Daphnia pulex: one gene and its partners. The protein of the gene in region 1 purifies or fractionates together with the protein of each later gene. This does not show direct contact. Links are inferred from orthologs where the notes say so. Each region holds a gene or a part of one and is shown in the gene's direction. Other genes may lie near its edges.

The links.
Region 2: the proteins of transcription initiation factor TFIID subunit 9-like (region 1) and transcriptional adapter 2-beta-like purify together in Drosophila melanogaster (affinity purification with western blotting; 4 studies listed by BioGRID, with this or other methods). This does not show direct contact. The link is inferred for Daphnia pulex from reciprocal best matches to the Drosophila melanogaster genes Taf9 and Ada2b.
Region 3: the proteins of transcription initiation factor TFIID subunit 9-like (region 1) and transcription initiation factor TFIID subunit 1-like purify together in Drosophila melanogaster (affinity purification with western blotting; 3 studies listed by BioGRID, with this or other methods). This does not show direct contact. The link is inferred for Daphnia pulex from reciprocal best matches to the Drosophila melanogaster genes Taf9 and Taf1.

What each region holds. Positions count from the first base shown.
Region 1 is NC_060027.1:3,088,531-3,092,052, reverse strand, and holds transcription initiation factor TFIID subunit 9-like, read left to right. Parts: upstream 1-1,562; 5' UTR 1,563-1,691; coding exon 1,692-1,803; intron 1,804-1,869; coding exon 1,870-2,006; intron 2,007-2,068; coding exon 2,069-2,506; 3' UTR 2,507-2,602; downstream 2,603-3,522. Other genes in the region: protein IWS1 homolog, read right to left, coding at 1-9, 81-432, 495-626, 709-963, 1,028-1,184; G patch domain-containing protein 8-like, read right to left, coding at 2,973-3,445, 3,504-3,522. UniProt on the Drosophila melanogaster protein: TFIID is a multimeric protein complex that plays a central role in mediating promoter responses to various activators and repressors.
Region 2 is NC_060026.1:11,480,639-11,485,662, forward strand, and holds transcriptional adapter 2-beta-like, read left to right. Parts: upstream 1-1,623; 5' UTR 1,624-1,697; coding exon 1,698-1,704; intron 1,705-1,777; coding exon 1,778-1,875; intron 1,876-2,019; coding exon 2,020-2,079; intron 2,080-2,137; coding exon 2,138-2,294; intron 2,295-2,357; coding exon 2,358-2,596; intron 2,597-2,662; coding exon 2,663-2,904; intron 2,905-2,971; coding exon 2,972-3,203; intron 3,204-3,443; coding exon 3,444-3,499; intron 3,500-3,680; coding exon 3,681-3,924; intron 3,925-3,995; coding exon 3,996-4,058; intron 4,059-4,122; coding exon 4,123-4,224; 3' UTR 4,225-4,286; downstream 4,287-5,024. Other genes in the region: eukaryotic translation initiation factor 3 subunit F-like, read right to left, coding at 214-297, 361-611, 670-761, 829-1,117, 1,290-1,398. UniProt on the Drosophila melanogaster protein: Component of several Gcn5-containing histone acetyltransferase complexes that regulate nucleosome organization; involved in acetylation of histone H3, particularly on Lys-10 (H3K9ac) and Lys-15 (H3K14ac).
Region 3 is NC_060026.1:11,816,703-11,821,534, reverse strand, and holds the start of transcription initiation factor TFIID subunit 1-like, read left to right. Parts: upstream 1-1,431; 5' UTR 1,432-1,572; coding exon 1,573-2,476; intron 2,477-2,535; coding exon 2,536-3,333; intron 3,334-3,398; coding exon 3,399-3,774; intron 3,775-3,835; coding exon 3,836-4,139; intron 4,140-4,207; coding exon 4,208-4,365; intron 4,366-4,441; coding exon 4,442-4,832. Other genes in the region: ADP,ATP carrier protein 1-like, read right to left, coding at 248-413. UniProt on the Drosophila melanogaster protein: TFIID is a multimeric protein complex that plays a central role in mediating promoter responses to various activators and repressors. Largest component and core scaffold of the complex.

The sequences.
Region 1 (3,522 bases):
AATTCTGACCTGTTAATACAAACATCAATAATGAATTTAAAAAATGACAACGAAAATTTCACATGATTTTTTTTTTTTACCTTTGATCATCATCTGGATTATCTGATTCAGAATCTTGTCCCTTATCTGAATCATCCTGTTTTGGTTGTTTAGTTTCGTCTTTTTTTGGTGCTTCGTCACCAGATTCCCCAAAAACATCGTCCAAAACTTTTTTGTCTTTTTCGTTTCGACTACCCCCTTCTTCATCACTTGAATCTCCAGCTGGACGAGCAATACGTGATTTCGTCTTTTCTTTTTTCTTCGAGCTTCCAGGTCCGTCGGAGTCACTGCCACTTCGACTGTGTTTACGTTTACGAGTACCACCTCCCCTGCTTTTCACGCTGGACGCCGACGAAGATCTTGATCTAGATCTTGAGCCTTTAGACCTGGATCCTTTTTGGAAAACATTTGTACATTAACAAAACACGAATCGGATTACCCAAAACTACTATTACGTGATCGTGATTTTGAACGGCTTCGGGATCTCGAGCGAGAACCAGACCTTGAACGTGATTTAGAAGATCTGCGTGACGAACGCGATCTCGAACGAGACGAACGAGAACCAGATCTAGAACGTGACCTGGAGCCTATTTATTTTAACACCAGTTATTATTTGGAATATTATAATTGTTTTAATCTCATCAAAATTTTTAGCAACTAATACAGTACCTTTTCGAGAAACTGATTTAGAGTGACTTCTAGATCTTGAGCCTGAACGTGATTTAGAGCGAGACCGTGATTTTGACGAACGGCGTGACGAACGGCGTGACGAACGTGACCCTGATCGAGAACGAGACCCAGATTTTGATCTAGATGAAGAACGAGATCTTGATCTTGAATGTGATTTGGAAGCAGATGGTGATCGACTTCTAGAGCCTTTCTTCAAATGGGGAGACTGAGAGCCATCATCATCTTTTGCTTTGTCTGTGATTTTAATAGTAGATTGACATCGTATTATAAGAAATAAACATAACTTCACTCAACTTACCATAATCATTAGAAACATTGGAATTGTTGGCTTTATCTTCTATTTCTTTCTGTTCACTTGACACTGAATCATTTCCATCCTTCCCCAGACTTCCTTCCTTGGAATCTTCTGCATCGTCTTTGATGTTTGGCTCAGACATGTGCAAAGAGTCATCCATCCTCTAAAGGCTGTTTAGAATAGAAAAAGTACCATTGTTTCAACTTTATTCACAAATGTTGTGAATCTATATTGCTTAAATTATGATGAGATTAATAGAACATATCGTTTTAATTAGGAAATGTTGTGATGCCGGTAAAAAAGATGTTTGAACGTAATAAATAAATTCAATTTCTTTAACCAGAACACAGAATCATAATCTTCATTGGAATGTGCATGTCTTACCTAGTGTTGACTGATCGACGGTTAGGGATTAATTAAAATCTTAAAAAAAAGAGAAAGATTAAAACTTTTGGTTTTATTGTGTGCTCGTCTTCCAGCACACAAACAAATGAATAAAAATGCTCAAAGCTAACGCTAGATGGCTGAAGGATAAGTTGACAGCCCAACTTATTCTGTTAACAAAAGTGAAATGAGACAGCCTCGAAGGAATCTTTTGAATTCAAGTCAATAATAGTTGGTTTATTTGGTTTATTGGTATCTCAGTTTGATTTCAAATCTAACGACCATGTCTACAAAAATTCCCCGTGATGCTCTAGTAATTCAAGCTATCCTAAAAGATATGGGCATTACTGAATACGAGCCTAGGGTTATCAATCAACTGTTGGAATTCATATACCGTAAGCCTAGGAATAGTCAAATAGAACGATTATGAACGACTTTTCATTAACTGTTTTTAATCTTAGGATATGTGACTACTGTCCTAGATGACGCTAAGGCATATGCAAATCATGCTAAGAAAAAAGGGATTGATTTGGACGATGTCAAACTTGCTGTTTCAATGCAAATGGAACAATCTTTCACTTCTCCCCCACCACGTGAAGTATACAGAATTTACAATAGAAATAAGTTATTTGGCCATATTCTCATCTATTTCACATTTAGATTCTCATGGAAGTTGCAAGATCAAAAAATAGCACACCTCTACCTTCAGTGAAACCACACTGTGGCATTCGCCTGCCACCTGACTGTCATTGCCTTGCTGCTTGCAATTACAAGTTGAAAACTATCAAAAAGACATTACCAAAGGCTCTTGGTGGTGGATCGACTACTGGATCTAGAATTGGTATGCTGGGGGCGGCAAGAGCTGTGCACCGACCGAGTTCACCTGCAGTTCGGGTCACTACGATTAATGCGGGAACTCCCACAACTCCTCGACCTGTTGTGAAGATCAACACTGGTTCTGCAATTAATACTCCCGCCAATGTTCCAAAGATTCAGATCAATATTCCGGCTCAGCCCAATCAGCCAGCAGAGAAAATGGAAATTGATGTTCGAGGAGTGAAGCGTGAAAGAGAGGACGATGATTATGATGCTGCGTGAATTATTGGAATGGTTTCTTATTTCATTAAATTTCTTACAAGCTCGCGTTACGTTGCCTGAGTAATGATAAATTCTTGAATAAATCAATCGACTTAAGATTTTTTCTTCATGCTATCCAAGTATTTAAAAAATGAATTAACGTTGCTCGTGTAATATGGCTTCCAGATGTACATAGGAAAGATGTTCAACTCAATGTTTTATCACCTTAGCACACATGTTTGACACGAGAAAAGGAATCTTAAAGGGGGACAACGAGTGCTGAGGAACACAATGGAACGGCTGACGAGACAAAATCAGCTTGGTTTCTGAAAGTAAAATCATAGGGTTGAAAACTGCTATGCAGACTTGATCGTGTTGAACTTTGCAAATGGGGGGGGGGCGAATAGTTAAAATGTATGAGAAAAAAAAATGAAGGAATTCCATGTGCTCATCAAATGTTGCAGTATTAACTGCACGTGTAGAAAAACTATTCGCAGCCCGGTGGGACCAAGTCTTCATCGTCGTCACCACCTCCATCGTCCCATTTACTTCCAACTTTACGACGATCAGACTGGGACGACGATGCTGTCACAGCGGCAACTGGAGCGGGTACAGGACCAGGTTTCTCTTCACGTGCTGGACTACGTTGCTGTACATCTCTTTCTCCACTTTCTCGTTCGTTACGATGCTGATCCTGATCATTACGACCTTGAGGACTTGTATCTCTGGCATCCCGGTTATCTCTTGCATCTCGGTCACGACCGCGATAGTTGTCCTGGCGGCTACGGGAGCGGCTGCGAGATGGACTGCGGCTTACACTGCGACTGTAGCTGCGTGAGCGGCTGCGAGAACGGGATCGAGTGCGGCTACGGCTTCGACTACGCGAATACGATCGTTGCATTTGCTGTTGCCAATAGCCGCCTCTGTTGCGACCACGGTGGCGGCGATTATCATATCCTCCTAAATCAAATATTCAAGTAAATACAAAGCTCTAAATTTTAATAACCTTACTGAATACCTTGATTGTTGTTGTTGTT
Region 2 (5,024 bases), on another chromosome or scaffold:
TGTTTTTCGCTTTTCCTAATCATCATTTTTTTTGCTCTCTGAGAGAAGATGGGTGTGATTCTTTTCCTTGGTAGCGAAGAAATTTTCTTCCCCCTTGTGTACGTGTGACTGTATACTATAGTTTCCTAATAAATATGCTCACGAGGACTACATCAGAAAATTGTAATTTAATTGGGAGATGTTCATTTTTATTTTTTATATCAACGTTCTGAATTAAATTGTCAACAATGTGAGTTTTTCGTTCAGCGACAGTTGAGTCTTGGTAAGTTGTGATAGATATAATACCATCAATAAATCCTAAATTAATAAAGTTTTACAAAAATTAGATTAAATAAGTAAATATTGGGTAATGTTTTCTACCTTTCGGTTTGAATTAAGCATCTCTTCAAATTCGTCGGGTGTCATTTTAGGTACCGAATGAACCATATCTAATAGAGAACGACCAAACGTGTTGTCAGCCGTTTTGGAGCCACTCATTACGTCGTCAACATAAGCCAAGATAGTGTCCAGCATGTTTTCCATCTGCTGCGAGGCTTCAACAATCTGAGTAAGATCCGAAGCGATGCCCGCTTGACGTTTAACCGAGGTTTTGGTTTTCTGGCAGGCATTTACTGAAAAACAATCAAAGATTAATTCCCAGTATACATACACATTTTCTATTATAATTACATCCAATAGTTTCTGGGTCATAGCATGCTATCTCAACAGAAACAGGAGCAAACATGCATCCCATAGTTTTGCCTGTGATACCCATTGGGACACTAGATGATAATTTAAAGATAATTATTTTTCAAAGCAATTGTATCATACTGAATTAATAGCATGTACCTGACATAAGCTTTGATTCCCATACGGGTATCTTGCAATGTGGTGTCCACTGTAATGTGAACAGGATTGGAGGACTCTCTGGAGTAGTACTCATGAATAAGAGCAGAGTGAGATGTGACTCCAGTACCAGTTGCCCACCAACCTACAATGCTTTCTTGGGGATTAACTTTACGATGCAAGTCATACATATCCTTGGCAAAGTCCAATTCCACAGCCACTTCTTCTTCTGATTCATTGTGAGGCACACAAAAGCAATTGGTCACTTCCACACCATTTTTATCTGATGTGCCTGGAAAAAATCAATATGAAAAATGAGTTATCACAACTTCGATTTCGCATATTATAGGAATTTAGGTATATAATCCAAAGATTTTGTCAGGTACTCGATACCGATACACGTGTCAACAGTCGAAAAAACAATAAAACGCGAAAGCAAACGGATGATCTAAATTGTATGTTACCAAGCAACGTTCCAATTACTCTCTGTGCATCAGGATTACGACGCTCATAAGAGTCAATAATCTGAAATAATACAACAGGATGCAACTTGACAGTCAGATTGAGAGCCATTTTGCGTGACTTTTTTTGCAGACCACTACCGCATTGGAGCTGAAAAAGCCGACACGAACTAGTTGCCAATTGGTGATATATAATACGTTGAATTATTTCTATTTACCAAACACGTCTCGTTATACATTAAAAAAAATTTAATTTAATAAAATGTACGGTGTACATTGTTTATAAATTTTACACGTCATTTTAATTATTTTTTAAAGACTTCTCACTTCTCAGTCACCAGAGGGCGCGACCAATGCTTTCGCTAGCGTTGGCATAGCTTAGTTGTTCTTGATGGGAAGGGAAGGCTAAAGATGGCGGGTAAAAAAAAATGCTCTCGTTGAATCCTTATTTTCGAAAATTGAAAATCTTTCTTTCTGTATCCATTCCTCAGATTTATTTATGAAGCATCGATGTGGCTACTGTCAGGACGACATCCTTGGCATTCGAATCCGATGTAACGTTTGTGTCGATTACGAACTTTGTTTACAGGTGTGGTATAAAATCTTCGTTGAATGAATCCCTCCCCTTCCTTCTTTGTTGTTTGTTATGACGCCCACCGGAGTGGTATTGCCGGTTGGTCGGCGGCGAATTTGAATTATTTTAATAACACAGTTTTGCAATGTTTCTTTCTAGTGTTTCTCTCTTGGCTGTGAAATTGGACCACATAAAAGTAGTCATGGATATAGATTAATAGTGAGTATTTAAGTTTTTCTATCAAACTCTCAATAAATACTTTATTTTTAATTTCTAGGATCCTGGTACTTTTAGTATTTTTCCTGACCAACAAAGGGAGGATGAAGGTGGCTGGATTGCAAGGGAAGACTATCAGTTACTTGATGCAATAGAACAGTTTGGTTATGGAAATTGGGAAGATGTTGCGAAACATGTAGAAACACGGGATTCAGAAAGTAATTGTTGATTTTTATCAGGATTTTATCATCAGTTACTCTCCAATTATGTTTTTTTTACAGAATGCAAAGAACAGTACTGTGATAGATTTGTCACAGGAACAATAGGTAAACTAACATGGCAAGGGCTTCCAAATGGACTTCTCGCAAGTGGAGAGTCTCGCTTGGCAGCAATTGATCACACTTGTCCAGATAATGCACCTCTATCTCCATCCATCACATCACGACTACCACCTTTAGCTATTCAACCTGAAGAAACATTAGAACTTGGATACATGCCTCAAAGAGATGATTTTGAAAGGGTGGGTCTTAATTTGTCATGAAACAAATTGTCTTAAAAACTTCAACATTATTTTTATTTTTTGTAGGAACATGACAATGAAGCTGAGGCAATTGTTTCTCATCTTGCCATTAATCATGACGACGAGGATATTGATTTGGCTCTAAAACTGGCTCAAGTCGATATGTATACTCGCCGCCTGAGGGAAAGAGCCCGAAGGAAGCGGGTTGCTCGGGATTTTCAACTGGTATCCCAATTTTTTAACGCTATCAAGAAAGAGAAGGAAAAACCTACGACTGCCGCAAAAAAAAGGGAGTCCCAAAAGGAAAAGTAATTCATGTTTCAATTAGTTAACTATAGATTCATTACAAACAGTTACATTTTTTTCCTTGTACAGAGAAACGCAAGAAAAATTTCGTTCGTTTTCCCAATTCCACACGGCACCTGAGCATGAGCAATTCTTACGCAATCTAACTAAAGAGAGAGCTTTGCGATTGCGGATTCGAGAACTAATCAAATACCGTAGGAATGGATTAACTCGACATGAGGAATGTACTGAATATGAACGACTGCGATACTTCCGTGAAAGAAAGAAAGAAGCCCGGTTGGAGCGCCAGCGCCGGAAATCCGTAAGCAATTTTCCCAGTCTGTACTATTGCTTGCATAGTTTCGTCAAGCGATAGTAAGAGTGTGCGACTGGTTTATTTACCTGTTAATACTTCGTTGAAATGAATCATTATTGGTGGTGTCCATTGGTTGAATATTCGATTTTATTTTTTTACTTATGTGTCTTTATTTTAAGTATCTTACAAGCTAGTTAAATTAGAACCCAAAAAAGACTGGAAATTGAACAATAGACTTTAACGTAGGGAAGCAGTGGACCGGGGCCGATTGTACAAAACCCTGGGACACTACACAAGTCAGAGTAAGCTTTATTATTTCCCCTTTTTTACATACTATGTGCAGTTTAACTCATCAGTTACCTGTGATAGCTTTGCATTATATTACGAAATCTCAACTATATTTCTTAGTTCTTAGAATTGTTAAGTAAATTCGTGGCTTATGTATGTAACTTGTTTTTTTTGTTTTTTTTTTTTTTTTCGCAGCAACGCAAGGGAAGAAGTGCTACTTTCAAGCTTTCGAGACGCAAAAGTCACCTCCTTCGGCAGCAACAACAACAGCAGCGTCCTCAGCGTTTCAAGCAGTCTGCCTCGACTCGGGCCCGTACTCTCCGCTAATACCCGACTTTCACAGTCAGAATGGCAGGAGGCAGTTGCTAATTTCCTCGCCAAGAGCGACGATCTCACTTTATGTCCCGGTTCAGAACTGCTCAGTCCTGCTGAAAAGCAAGTCAGTGAAACGATTATTATAATTATTATTTTTAAAGTTTTATCCAATAATTGTTTTCCTTTAAATCTCAGATTTGCCAAAATCTACGTTTGAGACCATTGTACTATACGTCATTGAAGGCCAATCTCATATTGGTAAGTCGAATCATTCACTCTCTTGATTTATTCACTTGAAATAAAATACAAATCTTTTTCTCAGAGTGGGACCGACAAGACTCCGCTCCTACCCGGCCTGGCTGCTGACGAGCAGTCTATGATTGTAAATTATTTTACGAAAGCCGGTTTTCTGTCTGTCGAGTGAAAACAGCAATTTTGTGTTGAAAAAATATGTGTCTTTTTTGAATAAAGTTCAACTGTTTTTTTTTAAACGAATTTCCAATATTCATTTCATTTTAGTTTTGATAGATTAGTTAAATTTTACGAATAATTTTGAGTATATTAATATAATTTGCATGATAAACCTTTTTTGTTTGATCAGATAAAAGATCACCTGATTTTTTCATCTTAATAAGAACAAAGTGCAACGTGAGGTGGCGGCCACCTATCAGTATGGTTACTGGACTCGACTGGACTCAATCTCAATGTTAGATCGCGGTCTTAGATTCAGAGTCTAAGAGAGGTAGAACTGGGGAGGCTTAGTCGGAGAAGGGTGAGGGGAAGTGGGAAGGTGAGTCACTAAGGAGATCGCTAAAATCTACAATTCTTTGCACGCTACTATCCGGCTGACCACCAATATGAATGAAAATTACAACTCTGACTCAAATTTTTACTCTGAATCAAAATTTGAAATCAGATTAAGTCTATTATGAACATACGCATGTATAATTAACTGCAAAAGAATTTTATTTTCACGCATGTCGGTACAACCTAAAGGCTAAATCTCAGTTTCTTTGAAACAATAAAAATTCTTCTTAGAATACCCGGGAACGAATGAATAATTTCACAAATTAAAAAACCTTAACCTTGTATAGCTATAAAATAGCTTTAAATGAATTAATTGTGAATAAATCAGAATAAATAAATTTCGGGAAGCCACCACCAGCCGTAGAAAGCACATTGAACAAAAAGCGGAACACACTGGCACGCCAGCTGAAATCTCAG
Region 3 (4,832 bases), on another chromosome or scaffold:
CATTCAATTCCAGAACTAGCAAAAACTGGTTTACATGATCAAAAGCCCATGAGGCGAACGAACATACTAGCTGAGCATACAAGAACAATGTAAAAATATCTTTTAAACTTTGCGAGAAAAACTTAAGGATTTTTTGTGATCCAACATGGCGCCGTGCCGGCGTGAGCCGGTTCGGAACCAACGGTAGAATATCTCTCCCGATTAAGTAACTAGAGAAGGGGGGGGGGAGGGGATTCAGCCATCTTACCCTTGTACTGCTTGTCGGCCGTGATCTGTTTGGAGGCATGTTGAACCTGAAGGAGCAGCTTAACTCGTTCAATTGGGGCGACGGCCGTCTTGGAAACGGCAGCCGAAACACCACCAGCGATAAAGTCCTTGGCAAAGGACAGAGGATCAGCGGTTTTACCAGACATTTTCAGTGGTTTTTTTCAACAAGCAGAAACGATGGGAGAGCCGGGCAGATTGTGCACGTGTTGAGACTTCGAGCACGAAAGGGAAGAGTACGAGTCTGGTCTCTGAGTTTCTACCTTCGGTCTTTTAACAATTCAGTGGTGCCCTCTAAGGTGCCTTGGTTACGGCCACAATTCAAAGGCCTGTCAACTCGATTGAGATTGCGCATTTAATCAAGTTTCCAGTCATGACCGCTAGGTCGGAATTGATCATAATTTACAATATCATTTCTTCACTTCTTGAACCTTAATTGACCATTTCTCTGCCTTAATAATAATGTGCTATTTTCAAGAGAATTTTACAAATGTAATTTTTCAGTTATTTGCAGTTTTTAATTAAAATTGAATGTAGTTTTGTGCAACGCCACCTGTGATCAATTCACTTCAGTTAGCTTATATGAAAGGCCTTCGCCAATCTACTGGGACTTCGATTTTTCTAAGGACCAATCCAAAAATCCGTTAGTAACGGATTTTACAAGTGCCTTAGGCATTTTCACGTGACGGGGATAGGAAAATGCCGCCCTTTTGGCGCCTTTTACTTTTTTTATGTTAGAAGATTATCAAATAGGGGGAGGAATCCCCATTGGGGTGTACTTCGACCCTAATGACCCTATATGAACCCGATTGATGTAATCAAGAATTATGTAATTATCTCATCTCATCGATATTGCGAAATGAATGAATTCCCGAAAATGCATAAAATGAATTCAGTTGTAAAGGGTAAAAAAATCTGGATGAAACCAAAAATGGAAAGTTTGATGGATAGTTGCCAACTCGACTGGGCCGTATAACCTACATATTTCTCTATGGAATGACGTCATCTGAATTCACACGGAATCTTGTCACGTAGTTTGGCCAGTTATTTCTCTTAATTATTTATGTAAACAATTCAATGATCTTTTCTGGAATTATTTAGTCATTTAACAATTCTTAAATAAAATAATCAAGTTGAAATTGAGTTGAAACTAAACCTGGCAACGCTGTTCATATTTACCATCAAGACAATTTTCGGCTTCCCGTCAGCCTGTTTGTGTTGATTTGATGACCGAAAAAAAGTAAAACTAAATTTGTGTTTGTTATGATTGCGTGATTCTTCTAAAGCTAGGATTTTAAAACATCCAAAATGCCAAGCAGTGATGAAGAAAACGAAAATCACAGTAGTGATGATGATGGAGATTTGAGTAATAGCCCCGATAATAATGATGACGATTCGCAATCATCTCAAGAAGACGGAGGTGGAGGAGGTAGAAGAACATCAGGATTAAACCTTACTGGGTTCCTCTTTGGTAATATTGACAAAGAGGGTAAACTTGAAGCAGATATCCTTGATGAGGAATCTAAACGTCAGCTGGGCACCCTTGGACGATTTGGCTTGATGTCAATACTTCAAAATGTCATTAGAGAAGACGATTCTGTAAGCAAAGATCAAAGTACAGATTCTGAAGATGATGGAGCAAAATCTCCAACTGCTGAAGACTATTCTGACATCAACGAACTGGCAGAAGACGAAGGAGGACCATATCTTGATGACTCAATCCTCATGCCACCACCACCTACACCAACATCCAAGAGCCTTTCGGCAAGTGAGGCAAAGAAACGATTGGAAACGCCTTTGGCAGCCATGCTTCCTTCCAAATACGCTAACATAGATGTGAGAGAGCTATTCCCAGACTTTCGGCCTGACAAAGTCTTGTGCTTTTCCAGACTCTTTGGGCCTGGAAAACCCAGTAGTCTTCCTCAAATCTGGAGAGGTGTAAAGAAGAAGAGAAAGAAGAAGAAATCTCCAGATTCAGAAGACTATGTTGAAGAGGAAATTGAACATGTAGAAATCACTTTCAAATTCGGCCCACCTCCTCCTCCGGAAAAATGCAGACCAGATGACGAAGAACGTTTCTTAAAGCCTCTAGAAGATCCTAATGCTCTCAATAATATCAAGAACTCTGATGATGACAAAGGACCCAATGTAGCGGATTGGAGGTTTGGGCCGGCTCAGCTTTGGTATGACATCCTTGGAGTTCCAGAATCAGGTATAACAATTAATTAATTATTTATTTGAACTTGATTAACGTTTCCTTGCTTTTTATAGGAGAAGAGTTTGATTACGGTTTCAAAGTGAAACGGAAAGATCCTAATAATGTTGACGAAGATGGCAAAGACCTGCCCGGGTTCAAATTTCCAGACGAGGCCTTTCACATGATCACGCAGTTAAATTGGGAAGACGACGTGGTCTGGAATGGCGACGATATCAAGCACAAAGTAATGCAAAAATTGAATGCAAAAGGTGGCTTAGCCTCAGGATGGCTCCCGACGGCTACCAATCGCTTGGCTACACAGAAAGCCACCCCTGCTGCCACTCCAGCCACCGGTAAAGCAGCAACTCCTGGAGCTAAAGGTGGCGCAAAATCGGCTGCAAACAAACCCGGAGGAGCGGCCGCAGCAGCCGCTGCCGCCGCCGCTGCGGCTGCTGCTGCTGCAGCCGTCGAAGAGGCAGCCGACGACGTTTGGCATTCGATTTTCCCAGTCGAAAACGACGAGTTGGTGTTTGGCCAGTGGGAAGATGACATCATCTGGGACAGCGAAAACATGAAGGAGATGCCCAAACCCAAGATATTGACACTAGACACTAACGATGAAAACGTCATTTTGACCATTCCTGATGACATTGATCCTGCCACAAAACAAGCATACGTTCAACAGCCTGTCAAAGTCAAGATTCCTCATCCTCACGTCCGAAAATCCAAGTTACTCTTGGGAAAAGCCGGTGTCATTAACGTATTGGAAGACGATTCACCTCCTCCACCGTCGGAAAATAACGATAAAGATCCTTACAATATCTCCAATGACGAATATTATGCAGCCAAAGCGACCGAGGCGGCTATCAAAGGTAAATTAATCCATCACAACTAAATTTTAAAAACTTAATTAATTGGAATTTATGGAATATTACAGTCAGCACGGGTGGAAATATCATTCAACATTCAACGCCCGTGGTGGAACTCCAGGCACCTTTCATTCCCACGCACCTGTCGATAATGAAACTGCGCAGTTTCCATCGACCACCGCTCAAACGCTACTCCCATGGACCGTTATCGACACCTGGCCCTCATCCTGTCCACCCGCTCCTACGCCACATCAGAAAAATGGCCAAACAGCGTGAACTCGAGCGAATGGCTGCCGGTGGTGGTGATATCTTTTTCATGCGAACACCGGATGATCTCAGCGGTAAAGATGGTGATCTCATTCTCCTGGAATACTGCGAAGAACACCCGCCGTTAATCAGTCAAGTGGGCATGTCCTCCAGGCTGAAAAATTATTACAAACGGAAGTGAGTTTTCATTTTTAAAACGGAATTTGATCGAGAGACTTAAATTTAATTTATTTCACAGGGCTGTCAAAGACACAGGGCCGCCTCAATACAAATACGGTGAAACAGCTTACGCTCACACCTCACCGTTTTTGGGTACCCTCCATCCGGGCCAGTCCATCCAGGCTATTGAAAACAACATGTACCGTGCACCAATCTACGAACATCAATTGCCGTCGACGGATTTCCTAGTAATTCGAACGCGGACAACGTACCATGTCCGTGAAGTCGATGCATTCTACACTGTCGGTCAGGAATGTCCACTGTACGAAGTGCCCGGTCCGAATTCTAAAAGAGCCAACAACTTTACCCGCGATTTCCTACAAGTATTCAACTAAAGTCATTCTAATAGTCTTCTATGAAACATCCAAACAAAATGTTTATTTTAATTCAGGTCTTTATCTACCGACTGTTTTGGAAGAGCCCCGACACTCCACGTCGTATCCGCATGGATGACATTAAACGAGCTTTCCCAGCACATTCCGAAAGCAGTATCCGCAAACGGTTGAAACTATGCGCGGACTTTAAGCGAACAGGAGTCGACTCCAATTGGTATTTCGTAGTATAATAATTCATACTCCAACGGATGTCCAAATTGCTCATTTTTGGTTACCGACAAATTCAACAGGTGGGTATTGCGGCCGGATTTCCGGTTACCTTCGGAAGAAGAGCTTCGAGCGTTAGTGTCGCCGGAGCAATGTTGCGCCTATTTCAGTATGATCGCGGCCGAACAGCGTTTGAAAGACGCCGGTTACGGTGAGAAATTCCTTTTCGCACCTGAGCAGGATGACGACGAAGACCAGCAACTGAAAATGGACGACGAAGTCAAAGTAGCCCCATGGAACACCACCCGCGCCTACGTCCAGGCCATGAAAAACAAATGTCTCCTGCAATTAACAGGTCCGGCAGATCCTACCGGTTGTGGCGAAGGTTTCTCCTACGTCCGCGTTCCCAACAAACCGACCATCAACAAGGAAGAGCTGGAATCTCAACCTAAACGTATTGTGACGGGCACCGAC